Linked DNA regions of Struthio camelus. Each later gene encodes a partner of the first gene's protein in a complex. Links are inferred from orthologs where the notes say so. Each region holds a gene or a part of one and is shown in the gene's direction. Other genes may lie near its edges.

What was found.
Region 2: DRC7 (region 1) and DRC1 share a complex: the UniProt entries of both Homo sapiens proteins name them as parts of the nexin-dynein regulatory complex. The link is inferred for Struthio camelus from reciprocal best matches to the Homo sapiens genes DRC7 and DRC1.
Region 3: DRC7 (region 1) and IQCG share a complex: the UniProt entries of both Homo sapiens proteins name them as parts of the nexin-dynein regulatory complex. The link is inferred for Struthio camelus from reciprocal best matches to the Homo sapiens genes DRC7 and DRC9.
Region 4: DRC7 (region 1) and IQCD share a complex: the UniProt entries of both Homo sapiens proteins name them as parts of the nexin-dynein regulatory complex. The link is inferred for Struthio camelus from reciprocal best matches to the Homo sapiens genes DRC7 and DRC10.

Annotation. Positions count from the first base shown.
Region 1 is NC_090951.1:30,152,066-30,159,469, forward strand, and holds the start of DRC7 (dynein regulatory complex subunit 7), read left to right. Parts: upstream 1-4,395; 5' UTR 4,396-4,473; intron 4,474-4,639; exon of another isoform or gene 4,640-4,643; coding exon of another isoform or gene 4,644-4,685; exon of another isoform or gene 4,686-4,927; intron 4,928-5,487; 5' UTR 5,488-5,505; coding exon 5,506-5,642; intron 5,643-6,119; coding exon 6,120-6,294; intron 6,295-7,184; coding exon 7,185-7,310; intron 7,311-7,404. Other genes in the region: uromodulin, read right to left, coding at 208-375, 897-963, 4,644-4,685. UniProt on the Homo sapiens protein: Component of the nexin-dynein regulatory complex (N-DRC) a key regulator of ciliary/flagellar motility which maintains the alignment and integrity of the distal axoneme and regulates microtubule sliding in motile axonemes.
Region 2 is NC_090944.1:8,795,380-8,802,449, forward strand, and holds the start of DRC1 (dynein regulatory complex protein 1), read left to right. Parts: upstream 1-4,059; 5' UTR 4,060-4,085; coding exon 4,086-4,246; intron 4,247-6,544; coding exon 6,545-6,650; intron 6,651-7,070. UniProt on the Homo sapiens protein: Component of the nexin-dynein regulatory complex (N-DRC) a key regulator of ciliary/flagellar motility which maintains the alignment and integrity of the distal axoneme and regulates microtubule sliding in motile axonemes.
Region 3 is NC_090950.1:21,486,627-21,494,493, reverse strand, and holds the start of IQCG (dynein regulatory complex protein 9), read left to right. Parts: upstream 1-4,851; 5' UTR 4,852-4,866; coding exon 4,867-4,898; exon of another isoform or gene 4,899-5,139; intron 5,140-7,867. Other genes in the region: RPL35A (large ribosomal subunit protein eL33), read right to left, coding at 617-640, 1,543-1,687, 2,768-2,920, 4,070-4,111, 4,584-4,813. UniProt on the Homo sapiens protein: Component of the nexin-dynein regulatory complex (N-DRC), a key regulator of ciliary/flagellar motility which maintains the alignment and integrity of the distal axoneme and regulates microtubule sliding in motile axonemes.
Region 4 is NC_090958.1:4,675,152-4,682,570, reverse strand, and holds the start of IQCD (dynein regulatory complex protein 10), read left to right. Parts: upstream 1-4,405; 5' UTR 4,406-4,481; intron 4,482-4,822; exon of another isoform or gene 4,823-5,322; intron 5,323-5,529; 5' UTR 5,530-5,671; coding exon 5,672-6,364; intron 6,365-7,419. UniProt on the Homo sapiens protein: Component of the nexin-dynein regulatory complex (N-DRC), a key regulator of ciliary/flagellar motility which maintains the alignment and integrity of the distal axoneme and regulates microtubule sliding in motile axonemes.

The DNA of each region.
Region 1 (7,404 bases):
CTCATACCAGCCTGCAGTCAGGACATGGTGGGGAGGCACGCACCTGGACCAGAAGCCAGATTGTGCTCATGGGGCTCTCAGTGGAGACATAGGCCCTCGTTGACTAGGAACAGTGATAACACCAGTGCATCCTCCCCTCCACTCTTCCCTTTGGTGCTTGTGGACAGACTGGGAATGGCTCACTGGCATCCCCAGCCCCTACCTTACCTTGGCAGAATGCCCCTCTGAAGCCTGGTTTGCAGTTGCAGATCGATCTGTCCTCCAACACCTGGCAGTCCCCCTGGTGCTGGCATGGGTTTGGTAGGCAGGCATTCAGGTTTCTCTTCAGGCGGATAGCAAACTGTTCCCTTCTGCCTTTTGGGCTCATCAGTTCAGCTATAGCAAAAGCAATATGAGGAAGTTGAAATGCAGCAAGAATATTTACCCTACAAGATGCACTAGAGTGAACTCCCCCTGCAGTGTGATTCCCCCTGCCCAGCTCACAAGGGCTGAGATACCTGCTTCTAGCCACAACAGGGTCACATTGCCACTGTGCTATTACATCTGAGGAAGAACCTCCCACCTCAGCTTGCCCAGAAGGATGTTTGTGTGACTGAGAACTTGGCAGACCCTTTTAAGCACAGCTGAATTCCCTTGTCTGTAATCTGGGCAGTGCCTGTGCCCATCTCCATGGATTTTAGGCTATGTATGGCTGGGATGGAGTGCCTGAGGCGTCTGCTTATTTTGCTTTGGCTTCCCAGTTCCTGCCCTCCAGAGCATCACTTTGTTGTCCCCCTTTAGCAGCTTCAGTGGTGTCCTGAACGAGCAACCCAGACACAGATCAGGTAAGGATTTGACCTCTTCTTTCCACACTACTTGGCTGTAACCCAGCAGGGACAATAAACAGGACGACTCACTCTTGTTGCCTTCAGAGACAGCCAGACAGAGGGTAGGAAGCAGCAGCAAATATGTCACAGTCCCATACTGTAAAAAGAAGCAGGTTGCTCAGTTTTCTAGCATGCTCGCTGGAGATGATGTTAATCATTCAGAAAGAGCCAACCCTCAAGCATACTATATTTCTGTACTATATTTCCTGTAATAACTACAAGTTCAATGGCATAAAGCCATTTCCTACGCGCAAGAGCCAGGAAAACCCCTTTGGAAATCAGGTGGCAAAACCCCTCATTCAGTCCACTAGGCTAAGATAAGGTCCAAATATTGTCCTGAATTTAGATGGTGTAGAGCTGAACCCTGAAGGGCTATGTCAGAAAGAAGGGTTGGGAGAAACCAGATCTCAGGTTAGCACATCCCTGCTGACAATGTTAAAGCTGTATTTCAGTACAAAACAGCACTTTGAGTAAAACCACACAGTGGAGGCATAAATCCAGGCTCCCAAAAGAGGAAATGAGTTTTCTACTCTCCTCACCACTGCCATAGCTCTCTCTTGAAGTTTAGAATTTGCAAGAGGATCCTTGCCTTTCCAGTCACCCTTTTTCAGAACAAGGGAGACAATGGGATTAAAACAAAAAGCCTTGAACACAACCAAAATGTATGCTATAAAACCTATAGCTCACCTCTATCTTGCTCACAGATAAAGTCAATGAAGTCTCACTCCCTCCCCCAGCAAATCTCCCCTGCTAGGTCAGATAACAGGTTTCTTTAGAGAAATTAACACTGTGGTGCTGGATGAGCCCTCGAAACTGGAGTGTCCTTATCAGAAACATGGATATGAGTCAGCTTGGGCTGGTGGCTAGAGCAATGCTCCGATCTGCCTTTGTCCTGCACTTTGCATGCGCGCTTAAAGTAGGGCAAAGTAAAGAGCAAAACCTCCATCCCCATCTGGCAGCAAACTGTATATTCCCACAGCCTATATGAAGCAGCTGCAAACACCAAAAATCTAGGCAAGGAGGATTTATTCCCAGCTTTGCTCCTTAGTCATTGCAGCAAAGCTACCTGCTTTGCAAAGCTCTTGAGACCCAAAACACCAGGTAGAAGCACCTGTCTCAGCAGGGCATTACTCCCAAAGCACAGTCCCTGAAGACTGATTCCAACTGCCAGGAAGGTTGTGCAGCTGGGGGTGCTCCAGCCTGGCCCTGGCTGCCTCTGCACAGGCGGGAAGGACTGGGCAAAGAGCCCCCCTGTGATGGGATCATGACCCCTTTCATCTCCAGCTCGGCATGATGATCTGGACAGATTTAGGAAGCTCTGTCTGCCTTTTTAAGGAGACAGGAGTTGCTGCCTACTTGCAAATTGCTTTCTAGGAAAAGAAATCTGTGACTTCATGAGTAGTGATCCTGAGAGATCCCACCAACATCCTCAACAGAAAGATTTCATCTGTTGTCATTCTACTCACCATTGCCAGGCCAATCTAAGCTCATCCACCCACAACTGCCCACGGGTCCTTCTCGTTCTCCCTGCCGCGCGCCTTATATCACCTTCCAGCAGCTCATCCTGCTCCCCCACGCAAACACGCTTTCTCAGCGATTGCACAAGAGCCGCCCTAGCATCCTTCAGCAGCAGCTGGGAAGGAAAGAGCTCTCCAAATGTTCATCCTTGTGCACAGACCTTCCTCTTAGCTCAGAGCTTGTGAATGCTCAGCCAATTTATGGCCCCGGTAGGATGCCACATAGAAGTGTTTGCAATATCCTCGAGAGTCTAGGTTTTTATGCATCCAAATGTTTTTGTGGAACCTGTTTTGCACTCAGCAATAACAATAGATCCCAGAGCCCCACAGAAGAACGCCAAATAACTGTGTACTAAACGCACATGGCTTAGCAAGCACATGTACGTTTGCTTTGGCTGTTTTTTAATGACTTCTGAAATGTAAGATCTGGTGAGAAATACTGTGAGGGACAGAGGGATAAGGGCTTACTCCTACCATTCTTCATGTTTATTTGGGAAATAACAACCTGCAAGGAACAGCAGCCACTCAAATAAACGATTCATGATGTTTTATATGAACTAGGATACTGCTGGACATAGCAAACATATTCAAATGAAAATAATTCAAAACAGCCTAACTGCAACTTTGCCCATATTCTCACCATTTTTATTGCATGGCTTGCTATATTCTGTGCACCCTTAGAGTTTTAATTGCTACAGTCAGTCCAATAGAACACCAGCTACAAAAATATAGCCAGCTAGATGCATTTTGTTTTCCTAACCACAATGAAAACCAGAAAACAAAACTGTTTAGAACCTGACCCAACTGAGAGCCTAATGAACTAATAATTAAAAACAAAACAAAAGCCTCCTGCAAGTCCCTGTTGCCAGATTTGGGGTGAGACACTCTGCTTTGCATTACACATTTTACAAAGGAATTAACCAGCAGTGATGCTTGTGTTTAATAACTTAGTGATGCAAAGGTAGCGCAGCCTGCAGGCTTAGAAAGCAGCAAAGAAAAAGGATGACGATTTTTGGTTTTTTTTAAAAAGCAAAGAGTAAAACTCATGAGGTTAAAGGCGGCCCCATCATTTCAGAGGACCTGATGGCAAAGCAGTACTGAGCTGGTATGGTTGGGTTGGGGCTGTTTGCTCACTTGCCCAGGGGTCCGTGCACCCTGGTGCTGCTGAGGAGCATGTCCTCAATGCTTTCCGCCTGTTCCCAACTCGTTTCGCACAAACATTTGCCAGAGGCGGGGGGGAACGACAGCATGCCAAAGGAAACCCACCTTCTGCCCAAACGACGAGGCGAGGAAGGGGGCAAGAGCCGCGTGCCCAGCGGCTGGGAGACGCTTGGGCGGGCGGCAGGTCGGCGGCAGGGTGGCCGGTGGCTGGGGGCGGCCGAGCCCAGGGAGCCCTGAGGAGGCCTCAGAGCCGGGGGTGGCCAGCCCGGGGCTGCGGGTGGCCGGTGGCCCAGCCGGTGGTGGCCCAGCTGGGGCTGCGGGTGGCCGGCAGCCCGCCTGGGGGCAGCTGGTGGTGGCCCGCCTGGGGCCGTGGGTGGCCGGTGGTGGCCCGCCTGGGGCCGTGGGTGGCCGGCAGCCCGCTGGGGGCAGCTGGTGGTGGCCCGCCTGGGGCCGTGGGTGGCCGGCAGCCCGCTGGGGGCAGCTGGTGGTGGCCCGCCTGGGGCCGTGGGTGGCCGGCGGCCCGCCTGGGGGCAGCTGGTGGTGGCCCGCCTGGGGCCGTGGGTGGCCGGCGGCCCGCCTGGGGGCAGCTGGTGGTGGCCCGCCTGGGGCCGTGGGTGGCCGGTGGCCTGGCCGGTGGTGGCCCGCCTGGGGCCGTGGGTGGCCGGCAGCCCGCCTGGGGGCAGCTGGTGGTGGCCCGCCTGGGGCCGTGGGTGGCCGGCAGCCCGCCTGGGGGCAGCTGGTGGTGGCCCGCCTGGGGCCGTGGGTGGCCGGCAGCCCGCCTGGGGGCAGCTGGTGGTGGCCCGCCTGGGGCCGTGGGTGGCCGGTGGCCTGGCCGGTGGTGGCCCGGGGCCTGCTGGGGCGGCAGCGCCAAGGGCAGCTCTGCGGCGCACGCGGGCCGGTTGCCATGGAGCGCCGGGAGCAGCGGGAGGGTGAGGCGGCGGTGGCGGCCGGGGCTGGGGGCGCAGGCCCCGCGGGGCAGCGGGCGGGGGCCGGTGAGGTGGCCGTGACGCTCGGGTCCCCCCGGTCAACCCCTCCGTCCTTGCGGGCCCCGCGGGGCTGCCGTCCCACCGCCCCCTCCCTGCATGCCAGGCATACTTGCCACCCGAGCACGGCCTGATAAAGACAAGGTCTGCGTCTCCATTTTCAGGCGCTATCTCCTCCGCGCTGGGGTCAGTTTGACCGCAAGAAGGGAGGGGAAAAAACAACCCCAGCCCCCTCCTCAACCCTCAAACTCCCTGCAATATATAGTGCTGTCCTTGGGCTGTGGCTCTTCTCTGTTTATTTTGCTGCAAAAACTCCTCGTCCCTTAAGGCCCCCGCAGAGCGCTGGGCTGCCAGCCCGGCCTAGCACAGCCCAGCAGCGAGCAGGACCAGCCGGGCCCAGGTGCTTGGCTGATTTTCAGAGCCCCTTGCCACCCGGCAGCACCTCCCTGGAGTGGGGGATACAGTGAGGTCTGAGACTGCAACCTGGGGATGTGTGATGCCCCACCGAGCAAGGCTCTCCGTTTTCTCCTGGACAGGAGGCCAGGGGTGAATAGCCCTCCTCCTCCCTTGGCCAGGGTGGCCTGGGAACATGCAGAATTATCATAGTAAAGGTAAAAGAGGTCAAGCGTTTTGGAAGGCATCAGAGCCCCTGGTGGCACGACTTCTCTGAAGCAGCTGGCAATGGTGCCAGCTGGAGGCAAGGCCTGGGTGAAAGGGTCCTGAGCCTGATGCTGCCACCTGATTTCCAAAGCAACACCTCTCAGCCATGTATTCACTGGGCCAAGTCCAAATTCAAATTCAGCATTCGTCCTTTTGTGTCGCAGAAATAGGAACTGCGCTTCTGGATGCCTCAGCCATGCTCACACACTACATCATTCAGCCCAGACTGTGGGAGTGTTTCTGCATTACTGTATATCTGATCCCACTCCCAAACTCACCCTGCTCTGTACTCTTCTCTAGTGCCGAGGAGGAGGCAGGATGGAGGTCCTAAAAGAGAATGAGGAAGAGGAGCAGAGAGAGGAAGAAGAGCTGAAAGCTTTGGAGATCAGTGATAAACAGCATGATGTGGAGAGGAAGTTGTCTGTAGACCAAGCCTGCACACCAAATGATGTACCGTAAGTTGCATGTGTTTTTCCCTTATTGTGATGAGCAAGGGATGTCCCTTTGCAGTCTGTGGGGAGGGGAACATTTCTGGGGGCCTGCACATGTGTGAATGGCATGTGTGGTCCCCATGTGCAGGGATGTGCATGTTTCTGTGTGCCTGGTATCCCAAATGTGTTTGTCCAGAAGTGGGCACATGAGTGAGTAAGAAGATAACACAGTTTTTTTTCAACTGTTCACTGCTCTATCAAGACATTATATACCAATCTCCCCGAGCCTCTAGGTCTATATCAGTTCACCATCACTCCAGGGAAGCTTGGCTATGTCAAAATTGATGCCTTCCTACTTCAAATTCTGCTTCTTTGCCTATGATTCCCCACTTTTCCCTGGGAAACAGGAAGTCTCGGCTGCATTTACACAGCGGCTCATTCTGCCTGAATCGTTCTCTGCTTGTTACCTGTGTCTCTCTCTGTCTCCTCCTGCCCTTGAAGCGATTTTGACTGGAGTTCCATTGACACGTCCGAGTTACCATCTTCCTACAAGACAAATTCCTCAAAGGAAAAGAAGCTGCTACGCATTGCCGACAACTTCCTTCAGCAGTACGCTCACCTCTGCCCCGACCGCGAGCCGCTTCTCCTTCACCCAGTCAATGAGTGTGGTGTGGAGGTACGGGATGGTGGAAGGCTGGGCCACAGCACATGGGGCAATCAGCTTCCATTAGTACCGAGCAGTGGGTAAGGACAGCAGCCCTATCTGCCCTCCCTCCTGGCCAAAGGGAATGGAAACCCACTCACTGCACACACGTGAGTGAGACACACAGCACCCCAGTAATACCCTAGCTGTCCATATCCACCAACCCATCTGATCACTGACACAGCAGCGGTGTACACGCAGGCCTCATGCAGCTAACAGCCCTGCAACACGACATGTGGGAAACAGGAAAGACAACAGAAACATAAAGAAGGAAAGTAAAAGAAACATGTGAAATATATGAGTTTCTACCCAGACTCAGGCTCAGAGCTATGGAATTTGGATCCAGATTTAGGTCGTATTCCAAGGTTCCCAGAATTTATTCAGGATAGATTTACACGTGGAGGTTTGTGGTTTGAATTTGTAATAGAACTGGGCCCAAGCTGCACAGCTGCTGTCTAGTTCTGGATCTGATACTCCCCCAAGCATGCTACTTTGGATCAACTTCCCCCAACATTTGTATCAATGTCATGCAAAGCAAAAAATGCCAGAGGGTGTAGAAGCTGGAAAGAGCAGTAGCTGTTTGTCTTACTTGAAAACGAAGAGCAGAAATCTCTCGCATCTGTAATGTGACTGAGATGAGTTTGAATATTTAGCCGCAGACAAACAGAAATGTCCTTTAGCAGATGGCCTCTCAAAGCCAAGCGTTTTCCATCTCAGAATGCGTGTGGAGGGCTAACGATGCTGTTGATATGCTCTAGGGACGTCCTGAATGTGAGCTGCATCATCCAGGGGTGGTCTAAGGATAGCTTTGGAGAGGGGACAGGAATCTGCTAGCTAACCAAAGTCTTCTTGTTGCCCTACAGAAGTTTGTGAGCACAACGGTGAGACCAACCCTCCTGCCTTATACAGAGCTGTACCACTGGGAAGGCTGTGCCAGCTTTGTCTCTGATTACCTCACCATGGAGCCCCTCAAGTCCCCTATCGCACCAGTAAGAAAGGGCTGCAGTTCCATCAGAAACAGCCCCATGGCCAAGGCAACAGTAGCCAGACACCATGTAGACACTCCAGGGCCACGGCTTACAC
Region 2 (7,070 bases), on another chromosome or scaffold:
TCCAGCCCTTTTCTCCCCTGGCACAGCCGTTCCCGTTTGGAGGAAGATGCCTGGCACCTCCCTCAGCCGCCTTATCCTGCTGGGGCAGGCTTATCCCGTGCCTCCAAAGACATACACTGCTGCTGCAAAGCATGTGAGGAGGACAAAGCTTTGGAAGAGTTCCTGGCCAACCAGTGCTGCTGGAATGGGTGCCTGATGACTGAGAAGCTCTCAACACAGAGCACAGGCACTTCCCAAGAAAGATGCCCTGCGACACAGGAGTCACCAGTCCAGAGGGAGCTGTCTGTGCTGCCACGAGCTCCAAGACCCTCAGGGACCTGCATTCCCATCGCCAATGTGGAAGAGCTTGCCAGATGCCTCAGGAGGTCCCTTGACACCACCCAAATTGCTGTCAATCTGCTCGGCAAGCTGATGAGCAGAAAAATGGCGCGTGAGACTCCCCTTCTGTGCAGAGACGTGATGGAGGAATACCCCGTCTGCCTGCAGTGCTGCTGGTGCCTCACTAACAGCTGCCCACACCACAACCGGCCCACAGCCGCCCAGGACATGGCCATGCTGGCTGCTTTCCTCCTCTTCGTGAACATGGAGATTGAGGGAACGAACATCCAGGTCCAACTGGGGCTGGGCTTTGAGCTGACAATCAACAGGAAGGCAGTGTACAAATGGGAAATAACACAGAAGCTCCCACAAATGGCCGGCTCCAGGAGAGGTTGCAAGCAGCGAGGTGTTTCTCTGCACGGCAGCTCATCGGACAGCAAGGGCTTGTGGCTGTCATCTCTGTCACAGGCAGCAGCCCCGCTCACAGAGGCACAGGGGACACAGGAGGGACAGAAGCCACGAGGGGGAAGGCTCAAGGGCCAGGCTGGGTGGAAGGAAAGGGCTCCTCCTGCAAAGCAGGCATCCACGTGCTCTGTCTCCACCAGCACGACAGACCTGCAGAGAGCTGGGCAGAGGGGGTCTTCTCCATCACCAACCCCCACGGTGCCCTTGCCCCCATGGGCACAGCCACCCTCCCGTGCTGCTCTCACCAGGCTCCGGAGAGCTGCCTGTAAGCCTGTGCCTTTCACTGACTACAAGTGCGTGGGGCAGGGCAGAAACATGCAGCGCCTGCAGAGATGGTGGAGCGGGCTGCGGAGCAGGGTGGACAGACGCGTCCGGAGGAAGCCGGGCTGGCTTCCAGGAGCAGAGAGCTCAGCACCCACAGGCACCGCTGGAGCAGAGCAGCAGCACCAGCTGCGTGCTCGTGAGGCTGAAATCCATGCGCTCTTCAACGCCATGGTCATGGACGTGTAAGCAATGCTTGTAATAAAAGTACATGTGGGAACTTATGGGTGAGGAGCCTGATCTTTCTTGACCAAACCTTGAAGTGAATTCCCTTGACCCACTCCCAGCCGTTCCCCCAAGATTTCACCTTCTCCCACTCTCCTACCCGTAGGCCTAAAAATCATCCCCACATCAATGTCTTGGGGACCTGACCACAATCACTATTATAACATGGAGGATGAGGGATGCCCACGTCTCACAATGACCCCGAGGTCGTCCTTGACTGGCGAAATCGGCTCTGCCCTTCAGAGCCATTGGCCAGAGCGAGGGTCTTTGGACCCTGAATGTTGATGCTCCTGCTTCCCTCAGCATCAGACCTCATTGCTACCCGCCATCCACCAGTTCTTGGTGTGACTGCCGTGCAGGGCTTCCCTGACTCCGCATGTGCGGTGCCAGTCTTGCTGAGCAACATGGCGGGACCAGAGCAGCATGAGCCCAAGGGGCATATTGCCATGCGCCATGAGACAAAGCACTGCTGGGAGATGGATCTGCATGCCCAGAGTCCCCCCCCGCCTACCACTGCCAGCTTCACGACCCATGCACAACATAAAACAATGCTCGGACAGAGAGACACACCACCCCCACCAACCAATCGAAAATTCAGGGCTCCTGCCCCATACCAGCACTGGGGATGGTGTTAGACCCCAGTTCAGCCTGTGCCTTCACACCATAGCCTATCCTCCCTCTCCCAATCCAGCACCACCCAGGCATGGTTACTGCAGCCAAGGTTACCCCCAGCCTTCACGTCTCCAACCAGCCCTTCCTTGTTTGTAAGTATGAGGTCCTCTCCTCATTGGCTCCTCTATCACCTGTATCAGGAAGTCCCTAAATCATCTGTGTGGCCCTTCCAAAGGCCTTGAACAAGCCTGACTCCCTTCCCCAACACCCTTTGCCTTTCAGTTACATATGGCTCCTGTCCCACCCAGCCCACTTAAGAGCAGAGAGCACACACAACCAGTACACCTGCTTAAAACCCAAGCTGAGCTTCTCCCAGTGGCAAGAGAGAGACACAAGAGGGACACAGGGAAGGGAGACCAGAACAAGGGGGACAGAGCACAGAACAGGACAGGACATCCTTGGGGGACGGGGCAAAGCACACTGCCCAGGCCCGGTCAAGGTTGAGTTCCTGGTGCAGATGGAGCCACCACAACTTCTGCAAATCTCAGAGGTGGCATGGCTGTGCTGGGCTGGGGAACCTGGTCCTCTGGCTCTGGGATGAGAGAGCTGAGGTGACGAGGTGTTATGGAAACAGTTTGACTGTAGGTTTCCGAGGAGCAGAGTCTCATGCACGTATTGCAGCAAAATTAATTATTTATTTAAATGACAGTACAGCATAGCAACAGCTCGAGTTGGTGCCTCCGGAGAGGCACCCCGAACAAAGCAATTCTGGGGTAATTATACCCTTTACAGTTTGATTTCCCTGCCTGTCAGTGAAGGTCTCCTCCAATCTTCTTTACTGAGTCTGTGGTCCCTCTCCTTCTGATTGGCGTCTCTCTTCTTCTGTCTGGTCTTGGCCTTCATCCCAGGCTGGTTGCTATGTCCTTGTTTCCCACAGTCTCTTATCTTCTTGAAGGTCAACCACAACCCAGGTGCATCCTATCTTGTCTCCAGCATTCTACTTTGTGACCTCATTAGCTAGTTTTGTATCTTTATTAGCTAGTTTGAATTGGTTGTACAGTTACATCCTCAGCAATGTTACATCATCAGCAATGTTTGTGAGTTCATTGACAGTTTGGCCTTGAGGCCTGCAGGCTTCATCTACTTTAGGCACTTATGCTAAGCAAGAGTCAGACTTATGCTGAACTGAAGCTAAGTCAGCTACAATTTCCTTCTCTAACACAGGGATGAGGCTGACATGATCACACCTGGCTGCCTTGGGACTGCAGAACAACCCCTTCTCCTCCACTGCCAGCACCTGGTGCTCACCAGGACAAGGAGGGAAGGATGCCGGCTGTGAAGCACAGAGGAAGAAAGCTCCTGGCTTCAGCAGGCCCAAGTATTGCCCTGGCTTTTTGGACACCACTGAGCAGCCTGGCACAGCGGGCACCACGTCCGCAGGAGGGGACCCTCGCGGGGTGAAACCTGCTGCTCTGAGGACAGCGCGCTCTCCTCGGGGTAGGGACACCGAGGAAAATGTTCATGGGAATGTCCTGGCTGGGGGTCCCAATGCAGCCCAGGACACAGGGCTGGCTTTCCCTCACCCTTTTTCTCCTGCTATCCTCTCACACATACTCTCAAACTTTTTTCTTCCCCACGCAACCATCCCCACTGCCTATTCTGTGCTTGGCCTTGGCCTGTCAGCGCTGAGGCACAGCTTGCGTGAGGGCTCCCCTTGCCCGGAGCAGACTCAAACTTGTCCCTGCCCCGCCCACAACTGTCAGCGGTCGGTGACACGGTGACTCCCGTGACACGGGACACCAGTGAAGTGTCACTGCAGTGTCGCATTTCCTTAGCACCAGCCCCCGCGCCTACCGCCCTCCCGCCCCGACCCCTCAGCGCGGCCACCCGTGAGGCAGCCGTTGCCGCAGCGCGCATGCGCGTTGGCGGCCCCTGCGTTGCCGGGCGACGTGCGTGCGCAGTGGCAGCGTGACCGCGTAACGCGGGGCCGCGTGAGCCGCGGCGCGGGATGGGGGGGAGAGACTGAGATGCGCATGCGCGGTGGCGGCGTTGCCATGCGACGGGGGCAGCGCTAACGGCGGCGCGGACGGGGAGGCGGCAGCGCGCATGCGCGGTGGCCGCGTTGCCGTGCGACGTGGGGCCGCATGAGCCGCGGTGAGGGCGCGGAGGCGGCGGCGCCATGGTGGCGGCGGCGGCGGCGGGACCTGGGCCCGGGCTCGGGCCCGGCCCTCAGCGCCCCCGGGCCCGAGGAGCGCATTGCGGCGCGTCGCCGCCGCATCGCTGCTCGCCTCGAGGCCAAGCGCCGGTGAGAAACTGGCGAACCGGGTCCCGGCCTGCCCCCCCCCACCCGCCATTCCCATCCTTGGTGCGGGACCTTCTACCTCCTCCTGGCTCCGGCTCGGGCCCTTCCGGAGCGCCACTGTGTCCAGGCCTCCCCCCAGAACCGGCAGCGGGCGGGAACTGACCCCCCCCACCCCATACTGGGGCCAGGGGCTGCCCCCTTTAACCGGCACCGGGTCCCAGACCCCCCCCGCCCGTACCGGCGCCCTGCTCACTCTGGCAAACCAATGCTGGGTCAAAAATGCATCCTGCCGAACCAGCCCTTCCCAAACTGGCGCCGGGGGCAGACCCCTCTCAGACCCACACCAGCCCCCCCAAACCGACGTGGGTGACCTCCTCCCTGTGACTGGCACCAGATCGGGGCCTCACCCTACAACCCCCACACTGGCACCCAGTCCTCAACCCCCGTCAGCCAGAACCGACACCCAGTCAGGGACCATCCACCCCAAACAGATACGAGGTCATTGACCTGCCACCCTCCTCTCCCCTTCCCCAAAACCTGTACTGGACTGAGGACCCCCACCCCGAACTAGTACTGGGTTGGGGACGACCCCACTTCAAACCAGTACTGGGTCAGGGACCTGCACATGCTAACCTTCACTGGATCTAGGACCTTCCCCCTGCTTCTGGCACTGGGTCAGAGACTGCCCTGAATCCAGAACCAGCACCAGGTCAGAGACATTCCCTGCTCCCTGACAGATGTCGCTGGGTGGCGGACCACCCTGCTTCCCAAACCAGCCCCAAGTCAAGGACATCTCCTGTCCCTGCTAAATGACCCCAGGACAGGGACCACCATGCTTCCTGAGCCACCATTAGGTCAGGGACCACCCCCCATCCTGAACCAGCACCAGCTTGAGGACATGCCCTGCCACATGGCACCAGATCAGGGACCACCTCCTATCCCAAACCAGTACCAGGCTAGAGACGCCTGCAGCCTGGACACAGACCTGGTCAGCGCTCCTCACTCGCTGCCAGACCAAGTCCGGGTTAATATCTTGTGCCTCAGGAGGGGCCTGTGGCCTCCCTTCCTGTGCCCAGCTACCCCTGTGATACCCCTGCCCCAGAATTTCCCCCTGCCAGTGACCCTCTGCCCTTTGGAACGAATTGGTACCAAGCCAGTAGCCTCCTGGATCAGGCCCCAGTCAGTGACATCCCCATCCTTCCCCAAACTGGGATCTGCCAGCAATGGAGCAAACCTTCCCCTAAATACAGGCTGAACTGGGATCCTTCCCTGAACTGTAGCTGTCCCCCCAGGCAGGGGGGGACAGAACCAGCAACAGGCAGTGCCTGCCACCCTCTCCTGAACCGAGGCTGGTTCAGGGGCTCCATCTTTCCCCAGCCCAGGCTTGGCACAGGCTTGGGGACCTCCCTAGGACAAGACCTCCTGGAGCAACTCCCCCTTCCTCCCTGCCAAACTGGGGCTGGGCAATGCCACCCCCTCCAGAGCCCATGCTAGTCTGACTGAGTCCTGGCCAGTACCACCAAACTGGGCCAGTAACCACCATCTCTAGCCCAAACTGGACTGAACCAGAACATGATATGTAGCATAGATGCCTGCTGACCCTACCCCCCCCAGGCTGAGCCTGGGTCAGTAACACCCTTCCCACCCTGAACAGGCTCGTTCTCCCAGAGCCTTCCTTTTAGGTTGGACTGTGGAATTAGAATGAGGTCAGTGCCACCCCCTCACCCAGCCCTGAAGTGGATCCAGAGACCCTGGCTGAGCCAAGCTCCCCCACAGTGACAAAAGGACTCCCTCAGATGCAACCTTTTCAGCCCCTGACCTCTTTCTCTGGGAAGCAAACCCTTGGGCTCAGACCCCCAGGGCTGTGCTGCAGGCACTAACCAGACCTAGGCTCTGCTTCAAGCTCCAGAAAGGGAGGGCCAGGACGAGTTTTCCCTCAGGCAGGTTGGTCCACACTTGCCTCCCTCCTTTCCACATCTTGGAGGGCCTCCTACCCTGGGGCTAGACCTGCTGGGGGAGGAGAGAGCAAAGTGTGTTTGGTGGAGCTTTTAACAGCATCACCTTTCCTTTTTACTTTGTGAAAAAAATGGGGCCCTCTCACCTTGCGAATAAGATCTGAGATCTGGCACCCAGGATCTGACATGAAACCCATGAGGTCAGATCTTTGCTCCAAACATTGCTATGGTGAACTCAACAGTCTGCGCTGGGATCCACACACAGAGCTGTGGGCCTTTCGGTGCTGGGAAGGTGATCTTGTGCCAAATGTTCTATCCCTTTCCCCTTTTGCTTCTCTCTGCCCAGGGAGGCCCTTGGAGAAGATACTGAGGCAAAGACAGCTGAGGAAGAGGAGGAGGAGGAGGAGAAGGAGCAGAGAAGAAGCCACAAGCAGATTGAGGAGAGCAGGCAGGTGCGGCAGTGAAATAGGAAAGTCCTCTCAGGTCCTTGGCCTGTAGACTTTTGACTTTGCTCTCCTTTTAGTTTAGTGTCACACAGCAGCGTTTATGTGGGAAGAAGCAGTGATACAAACTCTTCAGGACTGGATGGGTTGTGATTCTTGGGCAAGACTCCAAGGATGTAATTTCCCTCTAACAGTCTGCCCATCAATCAGAGGGATCTAGGACTGGTGGTGGCACATCCAAACCCAAATCCTGTCATGCTCAGCCCCATCCATGTTCGCAGGGAAAGAAAAACTAATTTGTGCTCTGAGCAAGGGACCATTTCTCTTGGTGCTGATGGCCCGCAGGGCTCTCCAGATGATGATCTGTGGGTGCATTGAGGTCCTTCCAGTGCACATCAAACCCTGCTGTAGCATGGGAAGAGGGGGCTG
Region 3 (7,867 bases), on another chromosome or scaffold:
ACTTGTGCACTATGGAGTTGCATGTGATAAAAACTGAGACAGGTATGTAACTAAATTAAACAGAGCAGATGTTAATAACATGCACAATGCCCAGGATATCTGCAGTCTCATTCTTTGTAATCCTACTAAAACAACTATTTTTAGGTGAGCGCTAAAAGGATTTACACCTGCTAGGATTTAAATCTCTATTACATATACCACTTTTATCTCAACAGCAGTCTTTGCCTAACACAAGGGAAACAGGAATTTAGGAGGTTTCCCTCCACTAGGTAGGCAAGGAAATATTTCTTATTTTCTACTTGTGTGCAGTCTACAAAGTTGTAAACATTTATTGTTCGGCTTTGTAAATCACTCAGATTCCATGATGGGAGGCAGAGACAGGTCACAGTAAAGGCTGCTAGTTATTTGTCTCCAGGATGTAGTCCGCTCCATGAGTAGCTAGCCAAGGATAGATCAAATCTCCATTTTAAACACCTAGTTCAGACTCACTACTGCATCACTGTGCTGTGGATTCTGATACACTACCCAAAAAAAAATTCTTCAGAACAGTTAGAGGGGATAAAAACACAAGTGTACAAAAATGAAACAGATTCCACATTTTATTTCCAATAAAAATTTAGATCCTAGATGGATACAGCATCTGTAAAAAACAAACAGAATCATGTTAGAAATCTTGTTACTGCACTGTACTGTTTCAAACAAATCTTGCAGTTGCATTCTACAATCATGGATCCCCAACTACTACAAAAACAGGCCCCAATTTTCACAGAAGAGGTGCAAGAATAAAAAAAAGCCTAGCAATTGGTTCAAAGACTTGAAGTATCACTTTGCTGGCAGAGAGGCTCCCTCCCCATGCAGCCAGCCCTTCCATTCACTGAGAGGAGGAGATGCTCATGAGCCTACTTTCAGGCTTTAACCATGCTGTTCCTACCACGCTTTTTGTAAGGCACAGGAAAAACATGAAAAGTAAGGATCGCATCTTTCTGACGCTCCTCTTGACAGTATCACTAGCAAGATCCTGCATGAAAAGCCTGGGTGATGGCCCAAAAGGGAAAGTTTCACTGAAGCCTTGTGACCAAACAAATTGTTGAACAGGTCCTACTGCCGCAAGACTGCGGAGCCCTCAGTGAAAGTGTTTGCAAGAGAAAAGGAAAACTGATGTCATAGCTCCCTTGCCAATGGTAGGAAATGGAGAATAGGAAGCATATAAAAAGAACACGCACAAGATTTAGGGAAGAGGAATCAAAATGGCTTTAGAAAGGAGTTGAGGAAGAATTTAGGAACTTAAAAAGCCTTTGCAGTCAACTTGAATAAGCATACAAACCCCTCAACAATGAGACCAGTCCTCTCAACACAAGAAGCCAGTGCTAAACCTCTTCTAGCTCCAAAAGGAGCACTTACCACAGGGCCATGTTGAACACACAGTAGTAACAGAACGAAGTCATATGTATATTCCAAGCTCTCCCTCGTACTCTGGGAGATTAAAACACATCCCAAAAACACTATCAAAAAACATCTTGTTGCTAAAATATATCCACTTACCACTCGGATTCTGTGTCCAATGGCCTTGGCAGGAAGGTTGGAACGGAACTTAGCACGAACCATGCCACTGTTCCCATGGGCGCGGGTTACCTTCCCCCAAATCACTCGTGTCCTGTTGGGCTTACCACCGGGGGTTACAGTGTTGCTAAAGAAACAGCGAAAAAAAATTCTGAGCATCTCAGTCTTGACTCTGCGCAAGACTGACCAGTGATGGGACAGACAACGTAGCCTCTTTAAGGCACTTCCATAATTGTATTCCAGTCATTTTTAATTGGATCAACTTCCACTTTCATGTGCCCTTGGAAACTGTTACGGCTGTAATTTCCACTACGCCCTCCACATGGAGGGAATATCGTGGCTAGTAATTTATCAGCAGCTCCACTGCAGAGCTACTAATGAGACATAACCTTAAGATGATGAAAAAAAAAAAATCACTGGATGTTAAGATAATCAACATGAAAACTCATAAGCTGTTACTACAAAAAAAAAGTAACATGTTCTAAGATTTCTCCAGATACACCAAAGGGCAAGAGCGGCCTAAGGCACCGGGATAGACTGCGAAAATTGCTTTAAAAAAAAAAAAAGGCATAAACCACCTTGGAAACGAAGATCAACACGCAAATAGCCTGACCAATTTTATTCAGTGCAACTCTGAACTCTTGCATCTAGCTCTCACAATTACACACTAAGTAGAAAGGCATAAGCAACTACTCTAAGGCCTCCACCAACACCAGTATAGCAGAAGTGACATTGCTCTGACACAGGCACGCAAAAGCAGCTCAGGATTCAAACTCCTTCAGGCTGCACTCCAGGCTTCATGTAATGTTCTTCGGCCATTTAAATAATTGAAATGTCATAGTGATCAACACCAATTCAGCTAACTCCAATATACTGCATTATCAGCTTGCCTTCAGCTCTGCTAGCCTCAGAAGCAAAATTTGTTATCCCACTTGTTAATATAGTGTTTCTAAGAGCAAAGCTATTCCCATATAAATACACGATCTGAATTAACAACACAAAGGTCACTTAAAGCAGACACATCCTGAAAAACTTTAAACTGAGACCAACCAAGGAAACTACTCTACAAAACACTCCACGGACAGCCTGTTGACAAGCTCAGCTCAACTTATTTTTGTCACAACAAGAAGTGACTGATCACATCCCAGCCTTTGCAAAAGCTGATATAGGAGTTTCTAATTTAGCACAACAACGAAAAGTTACTTACTTTTTAGCTTTGTACACGTAGGCACATCTTTTGCCCAAGTAAAACTCTGTTTCCTGCCGGGCATAAACCCCCTCAATTTTCAGAAGGGCAGTGTGCTCCCTCTGGTTTCGGAGGCCACGTTTGTAGCCAGCAAAAATGGCCTTGGACCACAACCTAAAAACATTGATAAATGATAAATCACTCCAAGGTATTAGATGCAAAAAACAAATAATGTTCTGTTTCAGAAGGAACTATTTTTACACCAGGAGAAGTTTAGTTGATGAAAAAATAAAGTTTCGTTTATATAGATTTCTACAAACCCTTACAGCCAGTCAACGGAGAAAAGTACCTGGAGCCTGAAGCATTTAAGAACTCTATAACTTTCTTTGTTATAAACTTCTCTTTCTACTACAGCCTTCATACCAAGAGCAAAGCCTTTCAATATTAGCATATGTTATATTTTCAAACATTTGCAAACTGTTTTTGGCATGGGTAAACGTTACTGTTTTCAATACATCACACTAACGTGACAGTCTCCTGTGCTGTACTAACTGCTATAGGAGAAGATATTAACTGTTGTCCATCGTAACACAACTTTGCAGCCTCAAAGGAATTAACTGCAGTCTCTGGGGACAGTCACTCCGTCCACATCCAATGGACAAATTACATTATACTATCACCCCAACAATTTTTCATGACAAAGACCTGTTTGTCCCACCCACTTCAAGCAATTACATGGCTGATTCTATATATCACATAGAAAATATAACTAGTCTCAACTGCATATGCCAACTGGCCCATAATATTACAACGTCAAACTGACTTATCTAGTTTTATCTCCCGTATGTGCATAAGATAAACCCAAGCATATCAAAACAAGACACTGTAATTCAGTTTTCATTTTTCTGGCACATGCAGTATTAACACTCCCTACGTCCATTAAAAAATTGTGGTGTCACAGTACCTCTCTTACTTAAGAAAACAGTATGGGAAAACCTGTACTGTACACTGCAGGCTCTTAAACACCGTGATAACTGAAACCACACTAATGTTCAGCATCAAAAGCCAGGCACTGGAAAGCCTGGCACATCATATGAACAATTACAACCAGTTTAAGGTAGTGGAGACACAACCATAGGTGTTTAACAAAGCAGGCACAGCACAGCGTCAGACAGAGAACTTGTCCAGAAAAAGGGGCAGCCACAGGAAACACGAATCACTGTTTGACGGTACACACTCGGGAATACTCCGTTTACAAGACCACCTGCCAAAAGTGCGGCTGTCACAGCGAGCCGAGACCCCGTATCGGGGCAGGTCACTCACCTCCCGCTCATGGCGTCCTCCTGAAGCCCTGGTCCAGCAGGCCTAGAAACGACACAATGAGCCATGAGCGCCTCGGGCCGACAGCTCACCCGGCAGCCCCTGCCTGCCGGCCGGGCGGCAGCCGCCTCGGCCTGCTCCGCCGGGCCCGGGACACCCGGCCGCCACAGCCGGCGGGCCGGGGCCGCCCACACCACGGCCGGCGACAGCGGCAGAGCGGCCGCCAACCTCCCCACGACGGGTGCTGCCGCCCGCGGGCCGCCAAGGCCGCCTGCTCCCCCCCCCCCCCGAACGGGACGGGACGGCCCGAACGCCTCGCCCCCCCTCAGCTGCGGGCTCCCAACGGCACCCGGGACCATCCGCCACGCATCGGCGCCATCCCGCCCGCCGCCGCCTCCGCTCGGCGCCAGCCGCAGCGCCCCGAGTGCCCCGCGCCCGCCGGCAGCCCCATGGCTTGGGGGGGGGGGAGGGGGGGGGAAGCGGCCCCCTCAGCCCCGCGCCGCCGCTCCCGCCTCACCCCCGCGGCGCCGAGCCAAGATGGCGGCGAAAGAGAGAACAGCCGCGCGGCCTGCCGGGATATGGGCCGGCGTGGACCCCCCTCCCCCCGTGGGTGGCCACGGTGCCGCCTGGGTGGAGAAAGCTAAGACGCCGCAAGTGGTAACAAAGCCCCAGGCGGCCCCTCCTCAGCCCAACGCTCGCTTTCCCCTTGCTCCCACGGGCCGAAATGCGGGGGGGGGGGGCTCTCATCCGGCCTTGCAGGCACCCACAGGGGCAGCCCCAAAAGGTCCCCGGCGGTCACCATGGAGACGGACGCCGCGGGCGCGAAGCCCCGGTGAGCGGCGGGCCGGGCCGAGGGGGCCGTCACCGCCGCGCCGGGCCGGGCCGGGGGCCATCTCGGCGTCCGCTGTACCCGCCTGTCACCTTGCTGGCGGGGAACCGCCACGCCTGTGAAGTCTCACGTTGCGGTGTTTTACCGAATAAGAGCAGACGTGAGCGCGTACTTACCTGTTTCCGCGCGTCGGCGTCGTTCCCGGCTGCTTTCTGCCGCTTCCCTCGCAGGGCCAGGCATTCAGGTGCGTCTACAGAGCGCTTTAAGGGATGCGGGAACCTAATTCCCGTTTCAAATGTACCCTCGCCACCCTGCCTTGCATTGCAACTTTGCTCCGAAGTGTCTTAAACTGCACCTGAGCCTGTGCCCTCCGTGCTTGTATGACGCAGTTAACCTTGGTAACTAAACCTGGTGTCATCTCGTCACCTCGTCAGCCGGGCTCTGAGGGCTCCAACCTGGGCTGAGGAAGTGGATCCTGATCCCGTGAGAAAACTGAGTCTGTCTGCACTTTGCTGGGCCAGGGTAGCAGCACGCCATGCCTTGTGAGCGTGCATAAGCAGGGATCTTTCTTAGACAGATAAAATGGCTGGGGAGGAGGAGCGGAGAGGGGAGGGGGTGTTTTGACTCTCCCAATTCCTGTGTTGGCTTCTGCTTGAAGGAAGAGGCAGCAAGCCCAGTAATGCTCGGTGACCTACTTACTAGGAGCAAAGAGCCTGCTAGGAACCTCTCTGGTCAGAGAAAGGACACGATCCCTGCTTCGAGGGGAACAAACCAACTGTCCAAACACTCACTTTTCCAACAGTACTGATGCCACAACCAATAAATGTTCCCTAACTCTGGTCTTCTCCTGTCCCATACAGATTAAGTCCCATAATAGAGCTAAGAGTAGCACCACGTCTTTTATTCTTTGCACTTAGTTCTAGCGTCTCATCGGTACAGTCTCAGAGAGCAGGAGCTGAAAATGTTTTTCTACAGTCGGAACAAAGCCTGGATGGCATCTCAAAGCCAAAACCAAGATTACTTTAATTTATCAAGTTTTATTTTCTCTTTTTTCAAACGAGCAACTTATTTTCTAACATTTGTAGTAGTAGAGTTTAGTAAGACCACAGCGGCTTTGCTCGCCTAATAGACGTTGTTCTAGAAAAGCTAAGATATGCTGTATGGTCCAGTTCTGCCACTGTGGGAACTCAGAGGTTTCACTTTGACAGTATGTTTGCAAAACAGAGCTAAAGGAGATGTGACATTCTCAGCTTTGAATTTTCTCAGTGGAATTCATCCGTATTGCTACTTCTTAACTGACTAAAGAGGATGCTGCAGAAATGCTGCCTAAAAGCCTACTGTCTTTGCAGCCTTTTCAGTTTATCAGGCAGCAGGATGGGAGAAATGTACATGCAGGGCTCTCACACAGCAGAGGGAGTTACAATTCCCCAAGGAAGGAACAGTAGGCCAGACTTTTTATACAGTTGTTTTTAAAATTATTTCTTGATATGTTTTTCTTTTTCTTTAGAACAGCAGGGAAAGAATGTCAGCCTAAACTCTTGGGGGAAGCTCAGTCTTCCACATACCTCTTTTTCGTTAATAGAGTTTAACGAAGGAGTTGAGCAAAGTACAGTGATTTAGGTCAATGTCAGTGACTGAATCAGGATGGTCTGTGGGCACTGCATTCATGCTAAAATCTAGTGAGAGCAGCTCACTATTTGCAGTGTTTCTAAATGCCCCAGACAGTGGTTTCCTTCTCACTTCCAAGTCAACATAAGCCCAGGCAGAGCTTACTGGCTTGGCACAAGCATCTGCTGAGTATACGGATATAAGAGGAAATATATAGGAGGAGCAAATAGGAGGCTTTAAAGAAACATTACATTCCAGCTGTGTGATTTCTTAAAACACATAAATATCTTGAGTTAATTCTCTCCTGGACAGAAGTTGCTGATGGGGTACAGGAAAAGCCATTGCATCCTCCGCTGTTTCCAAATAAGTCACTTTTTCCTATGAGAGCTGCAAGTGTTATTTCTTCTTTCAAAAATGTTGTTGTAATCATTTGTCACAGCTCTCTCAAGAAATCTGTTTTCTCCAAATTTTTATCATTCGGGCTGAACATGTAAGAGACTATTCTCATGTTGTTTAGACCTGAAATATCATGATTTCTTTTTAAAAAAAGGTAAAACAAATTTACATAACAATTAACTAGTGCCTGTTAACTGTAAAGAGACTGTCTGACTTTCTCTGTGTAAAAATACTTAACTCAGATGAACTTGCATCTCCATTTCTACTATTAATGCCAAGTGTGAAAAGAAAAGTGACGTTTATTACTGTTATACAGATTATTAGCTACCTTTAGTTAATCATTTTATCAGATTCCTATCTCAAGCTGTAGCACATTTCTTATAATCCAGAGAAAGGAGAGAAAAAAATCTCAGAAGCAAAGGGAGGAAATCACTTCCTAAGTTAAAGGTCACAATCAAAAGCCCTAAAGAGTGAGATTAGTTATTTAAATAAATATAAGTAGTACAGGAAGGATAGTAAGCCTATTGAAAGTATTTGGAATCACTCCTTTGCTGTTACCTTTTCTGCCATGGTTTTAGCAAGGTTCTTAAAATAGTTTAGGGTGCCTCTGCCATTATCTTGATCTTTCTGAAAGTTAGAAACCTCATCGTAACTGCCTGGCTAAGTGTATTCATGAGGAAATCATACTCCTTTGACCTTGTAACAGTATTATCTTTTAACTTAAATAGCTCTGTCCCTCCCTAGTATCTGCCCTTCAAATATATTTACAGAGAGTAATCACACTCCTCAAGTCGTTTAACCTCTTGTAAAACAGATTCTCCGTTCCTCCAATCACCCCACTAGTCTTCCTCTGTCTCTGCATGTTTTTGAACACAAATGACTAGAAACACGCGCAGTGCCTTATCTGAGTTTAGTGGTGTCTTATACAGTGGCACTGATATTTCTTCCTATCTGCTGAAAATACCAGG
Region 4 (7,419 bases), on another chromosome or scaffold:
CCTGCTCAGCCTGTTTTGCTGTCTTGCTCTGTGTGAACAAGCAGCTGTAACGCTTCATACCAGTGGTGTTCCTTAGTGCGGTGGGTCTCATTTTCTCTGTGCAACCCCAAACTGCTCTGGGCCCTTATGCATGGAGGTCACCACAGAAATAGGAACTATTAACCTGAAAGTGGTGTTTGCGAAGCCCTGTCATGCGCTAGCTAACCTGCATTCAACCCATTAGCTGGCAAGGGATGTGGAAGGAATGCAGGTCAAAGACAATTCTGCATATAACAAGAGTGATGAAATGTTCTCTCTCCCTCCCCCAATAAATGGAAAATAAGCACTAGGAAAGGGACACAATACTGTTATTTTTAATGATGTTCCCAGAGCCTCACCAGAGTGTTTCTAACAGGTTCCTGGGGGCAAGAGGAAGTTCAGGTCACTCCCACCTGCTCACAACACAGATGAAGAGCATGCCCTTGGCAATGACTCATAGCAAGACACGGGAACTAGTAAAAACAAGCGAGAGCTGCAGCAGGGTGCAGCGGTCAGGGATCAGGCAGTCCCGCAGATTCCCTAGGGCCTGTTTTGGTGCCAAAGCTCCATGTTCCCAGCAGTGCATCATGCAAGGCTCAGCACACCACAGCAATGAGTGCAACTGGCTCCTGCCAGGGCATCCTGAGGATGCAGCTCCTCACGCGGTGTCTGTTGTGGTGATACCCCAGGTTGCTGGTGGTGGCAGCCTGTGAAGTGCTCTCAGCCCTCCAAACGCAGTCCACTTCGGCTCAGCAGTATAGCTCGGTGCTGAGAGCACGATGGGAGTTCACGGCTTCAGAGCTGGTGTGCAGAAGAGCAGAAGATGCTCTCAGTGAACAAGTTCTGCCTCCCCGCAGCTGCATTCTGGCTACAGCCAACACAAAGTTAGTGGCAGGGACCTGCAGTCAGGGCCAAGAAGAGAGGGGACTGTCCCTACAGTAACACTGGGCCTGGGTACGATAACCTTGCAGCCTGGCATCTTCGTGTGCCTCTGCTCTTTTGCTGTCGTTTCACAATCAGTTTTAACTGGTGCAATATACTCCCCTCCCTGCTGTTCCTTCCGTTGACCCACATATGGATGGGTGGTAGCACAAGGCAAGGAACTGATTTGGATAAACCCAAATTGCAGAGGATCACAGCTTTCCACGCTGATCAGCAGAGCCTGCTTGCTCACACATGCCGAACCTTGCCTTCTCTTTGCCACAATGGAGAAGGATGAGCCAATTACTGCCTTTCAGTGAGTAGTTAAAAATTCTGCGTCTGAAGAGTGGTTCAAATGGGGAGGTGAAAAGGCAGACGGGGCCAAGCAGGCCTTTGATGTTCAGCTGTTTAGTTACAAGGGATATACAGAGACCTTTGCATCTGAACACAGCTGGACTTGAACAGTGGGGGACAGCATGCCTGGGCTGTACCCACACGCAGAGCCTCTCAGCTCCCCCTTTCCTGATCAGGTGTACCCAGCACAGCTCCCTTGCCCATACAGTTCTGATTCCCGAGCACCTTTGGATGTGCTGGAGCTCTGGGTCCTGATGCAGGCTGGGCCGGTTTGTTTGCAGGCTGAATTGTTTCAGGACCGATCTGAGGTTTTTCTACATCCTGGACAAGAGGAAGGGACGACACACAGTTTTGGTGACATTTCGTACAGCTCCCAAAGCAGCCTGGTTTCATTCCTGGCAGAAAAGCTGCTCCCGGCCTGGAGGTGGTACTGGAAGCTGCAGGACGAGTGAGGCTGCTCTGAGCACATGCCATCACCCCCACTGCAGCCTGCAAGTTTGAGATATCTCTAATTAGCATCCAGAAGGGAGTTGCAGTGCTCCATGGGTTTCCCTAGCTAAGAGGAGGTCTGGACGCGACCCACAGGCTCACCCTTTTCTTCCTCTCTCCTCTGTATGTTCCAAAATGCTTCTGTCCCTCCAGGCAGGCCACGTGCATGGGCACGCGGGACTCTCAGCTGACAATTGCTCACAGCAGTTGATCCTGTCTCCAGGTCATGGCTGTAAGGAAGCTGGAGTTTCCACTTCTCCGAGAGCAGTTGCCCATTTCATATGAGGCAATCTGGACTCATCAGCTTTGGAAAGAAAAAGACATTTTTTTCAAGACTGATTTAATTGCCAAAACGTCTACAGGGGAGTGGCAGCCTTTCACTGGGGTCAGGGTTCGCTCCTGAAATCCTTGGCAGGAAAAGAAGCAGCTCTCTATGTCTCCAGGGCTATTTCTCTGTGCTGCGATGACCGCAGTATGCCATTAGGAAAACATCCAATCAGCGGCACACTATCTTTCTGATTTTATGGCCCTGCTGTGCTAAAGCTGTGGGTCTCCTGCTCAGCCAGCACAGCCACGCTGATTTGGAGCTGACATAATCACAAGTGCCAAATTAGGGCACAAGAGAAGGTGCTTCTGGACAGCTCTGTGCTTTTGCTGGAAGCTGAAGACAGACTGTCCCACACACAGAGTTAGAGCTACCACCCCACCCCACAGCTGGCTGGGTGAACCAACTTAGGGTGTTGTGCTGGTGGCTGCAGCATTTTTGACTTGAACCAGACTTACCATTGCACTGAATCCCAGCCGGACCTTCCTCTGAACCTGTGCTGTGCTGAGCCCAGGCACACTAACCAGGGAGCCGTCCCCTGTTTGTGGCTCTGCACTTGCATGGTCCCAGGCAGAGGGAAGGAAGGGATCATGGCAACATTAGCGCCGTTCCTCCTCCTTTGACTTGGTTGCTGGGAGCAGGAGGCAGCTCAGCCACTGCACGAGCAGTCCCTGACCTGTACGTAAGGAACTGCTTCCCAGGGGTGCTTTCCTCCCATCCATCCTCGCAGGGGCCTGGCTTTGAGAGTCTGGCCCTGGTACTCCTACTCCATCTCCCATCACCAGATCCTAGTTTGCGTTGTGCAGGGAATAATAGCCAAGAGATGCGCTGGACCAGTGCTGGGCACAGTCTCCAGCGCTGGGGATTTATTCACTGGCTCAAACAGGCTAAGCCCAGAAATAAGTAAATGTTCTTGTTGACGTGAGCAGACTCTATGCAGCGCCGCAGCAGAGATGCCAGATGATGCTGTCCGTGGGGTCCCACAGCTGCTGTGCCATTGCTTAGCACTTACTCCTTCCTCTTCAGACAGAAACATGTCACTAGGACTAGCGCTGGCTTTGGGCATTTTGCCAAGTTTCCTCCCGGAAACCCAAGCCTTTCTCTCCCCACATGGATGCCTCCTGCTGATCCCTCAGCAGTGTGAGGACAGGACTTGCACTGAGTTTTGATGGGCCAGTATGTTCTCTACAGACGTCGCTAATTCATGGCTAATCAACTAATTGTGCATGTGTGGCATCTGCATCTTAATCAGCAGAAGCCTTCCAGAGTTTATTAGCATTTTAATAGCACTGAATGCAGTGTGATATAAAATTACTTTTCCTTAACAGTACAGTTAGGGTAATTTCTTGGTTGCTGATGGTCTTACATTTAAAATCCCCACAGACTTTATATTCTGCCCAGTCTAATTTTGCTACATGATCTGAATTTCTGTAACCGTGGCCTGACCGATGCGTACGTGCACTCTGCGCCCCTGAAAGATCTTTTTAGCAGCACCACGTCCCTGCTCTGGAGCGGTCTTTCCATCAGGGCCCAGGCAAAGGGTCCGTTTCCAGTGCGGCGGCGGCAGGTGGCTTGCAGCGGTGATGACCTGCTACTCCTGACGTCTTGTTCCTGAGGTCAGTGGCGGCGCTGAGACGTGGCGATGACGGTTACGCAGGAAACCCTTTGAGAGGGGACGGGGATGTGAGCACGGGCTCGCAAAAGTGCTTCCCCTACTTTGCCTTTGCTCTTTTCTGTGTGCGGAGGGCCTAGGAGACTTGAGTCTGGGGAAGGGGGTTACGAAGTTTACTTTTCGGCTTATTTTTCGAGCTCTTAGGAACACGCTGCCTGGTGTCCCGGGGGCCTGGCGGGAAGGCGAGCTGTGAGCCCGGATCTGCTCGCAGAGGACGATGCCAAATCCTTCAGGGAGACTTGCTTTGCCTGGCCTGTTCCCCGCCTGGTAAGCAGCCGTTACAAAAATAAAGCAAGGGCTGACCAGGCTGCGGAAAACCCCCGTTCCCTTTCCACTGATGCACGTTTCTGCCTCCCTCGCCTCTCTGTGTCCGCAGCACCGCTCTTCAGCGCTCCGCGGGGGCGGCCGCCTTCACGCCCCCAGCCCCAGCCAAGATGGCGGCTCCCCGCGCCGCCGCGGCTCGCTCCCGCGGCCCGGCGCCCTCAGGTGGCCTTCTCATTGGACAGTCGCGCTGCCCATCAAGCGCGGGGGAGAACGCTGAGTGGCTCGAGGTGTTGCGGCCCCTGAAGTGGAGCAGGCGCCATAGGCTGTCGGAGGGGACCTGCCCCTCCCCGCCGCGCTCGGTCGCCTAGCAACCCGAGGACTCCGGCGGCGGCCGGGCGGGCCGGGAGCGGCGGTGGCGGCGGGCCGAGCGGAGCCCGGGTAGCGCCCGCAGGGCCCCGGAGACCCCCCGCGCCGGCCCCGGGCCTCCCCTCCCCGGACCCGACCCCGGGCCTCCCCTCCCCCGTCCCGACCCCCCCCCCCGCCATGATACCCCCCGGGGCCTCTGTGCCCCCGACCCCCAAGGCCCTGCAACACACCCCGGGCCTCTGCCCCCCGGGGTCCTTGGGCCCCAGCACCCCCGGGTCCTGACCCCCCAAGATACACCCTGGCCCTTCACATACCTGGGCCTTCACCCCCCCCCCCCCCCGCCTTCCCTCTTCCCCCTTCTCCCTGCCAAGATACACCCTGGTCATCTCTCCCCTCAGGCCTGGACCCCCAACAGGCCTGGACCCACACTTGGGGGACCCCTGGCACCCCACTCCCACAACCCACGCACAGGGGATTCCCCCCCCCCCCCCAAGCTCCCTGAATCTCCCCTTGACCCATGCCCGGGGGATCCCTGGGATCCCCTGGCACTCGTGCCCCCATACACACAGCCAGAGGACCCTTGACTCTCTGTCACCCTCCCACATGCGGCTGCCCTCTGCCCCCTCACTGTCCCTTCCCCTGGCCCTTGTCCTTGCCAGCACAGCCCCTCCAGGCGGGGATCAGCTCTTGCACTTCCTCCCTCCAGCAGCACCAGGCCTGAACTGATGAAGGTGCATGTTTCCCACCAGGAAACCTGCCCTTCCTTCTGAGGTGGCCCTAGAGACCTGCAAGCCCCCCCCCCCCCCCCCCATGCACCTGTAAACATTGTAGAGCTGCAATCGGTGATCTCCATCTCACCTGCTACTTAGAAGGAGCTGGGAGCTTTCTCCTCACCATCCTTCAAAGTAGGGAGGTTATTAGTTTTCTTCCTTTCCCATGGGCGTTCTGGTACATTTGGACGTTTAACAGCATCTCTGGGATAGAGATCACTTCTAATGTAAAACCCCAATGCCCTTATTGTGTGCCTAGACCTAGGGACAACTAGAGTGTAATCTGAAACTCCCACGTTTTCCCAAATAATGTTGTTTCTCTAATGCTCTCACCAAACTTTATTTTAAAGATAAAATCTGAGGAAGAAGAATTTGCCACAGAAGCAGCAGAGGGACCTTGATGTACTTCGACTGAGTCATTCTCTGTGGTCTTACTCTTTGTGTCCCTTCTAGACCTCAGAAGACTCAGCTCAGAATTATTTAACCGAAGCCATGGCAACAGGGAATCCAACTGTGCTCCAAGGATCATCTCGGGACACGAAGCAAAGAAATAAGCCCTTGATAAAAGGCGTTCAAACTCCAAATAAGGAAGTGATCGGATTAGATGCCAAGAAGATGTTAGATCGAAGTCGGTCAAAACTTAATACTCGTGAGACCCAAAGAATCATATCTGTCTTGGATGAGACGATTGTCAAGCTGGAGCTGAGCAGTTTGATCCCTTGTATTATTGACTCTCTGGATAGGTTTGCTGATATGCTGGGCCCTGCGATCACAAATGACCTGATTGAGCACCAAAAGCTTTCAAGCAAAGTGGAGGACCTACTCTCCAGCTTTCAAGAAGAGGACACGTCAAGAGCAGAGGAACAGAGGGACTGTCTTTGCTTGCTAGAGCAACATCTGAAAAGTTCTGTTAGAAATATTCTGAGACGCTTGCTCGCCAACCCTTCACTTTGTCAGGCTCTGAAATATGAAGTCTGTGCAAAGCAGTCATCAGCTGAAGCGTTTATCAAGGCCTTTAGGGAGTTCAGGAATTTCATGCATGAGAGACTGCTGACTAGTCTCTTAGAAGAGAAAGAAAAGATTCAGTTCATGGAAAACATCTCCCGCCGGATTACAAAAAACACTGAAACACTCACAGCTTTAAAGGCAGAACTGGCAGCAACAACCCAGTCTCGAGATGAAAAGGTATGATATTGTGGGAATATGCTTTCTAACAAAGGGTCAATGAGGCAAAATTTTGGTAAACTAGGAAATAATCCTTTTCTTGCAGACCCTAGACAGGAAGTTCCAAAAATGGTTTGTAAACCAGATCCTAAAGTAAAATACACTTACTTCATTTCAAAATATAATTTAAAAGGCTTATTGCATGCTTGATTTTTAAACTTAAATTTCACATGTTTTTATCGTCTTCTCACTGGCAGTTTAAATCACCTTGGAAATCACCGAGTTTAAAAAGGAGATGTAGAACAGGCACAAATTGCTGCAATAGCATTTTGTCATTAATGCAGTAGTATTAAAATGCATTTTTAATATCTACTCAGCCTTCACTCTTGCTTAAAAGCAACATTTCTATGACTTCCAACTCTATAATACTAGCAACCTTAGAACATTTATAATTAATGTGTGATAACATATGTTTATTTTTTGCAAAGAAAGCAACAGAGGTAAACTAATGGACATGCCCAAGACCTTGGGCTGAGCCAGAATTTGAGCCCTGAACTCTTGACAAGCAATTCCTTGTTTTATATGTATGCTTTTTTTTCCCCCTCCTTTCAGCAAGAGGGGTCAGAGAGGAAAGTTCTGCACTGCACTGAATGGTGCTAATGCAGACAAGGGCCTGAATTCTCTCCACTCCCTGGAGATCTGTGAATTGAGACACTTGAGATTGTTATGTGCCATTTGGCAACTTGTCCAGTGCATAATGAATAAACCTGTTTTACTGGTCCCAGATGAGTATTTCTTTTGCAGGCAGCCCACTGAGCTGAGTCCCCAGGACTGTCCCTCTGAGCCTAATGCAAACTTGATGAAGCCAGTGGGCTGTTTCCAGTGGCTCTGACTTTGGATCCTGTTCAGATGGGGCAGCACCTGTGGAAGCTTCCTCAAATTACAGTGCTGGTGGGTCTCAGCATGGCTCATTCAATCTCTGACCTTATTCACAGGTTCACGGAGGAACTGTGAGAGGTTTCCAAAGCATCTTGGAAACTAACTAACTCTGTTCCCTTTGCTAGCTTTGGAGATCT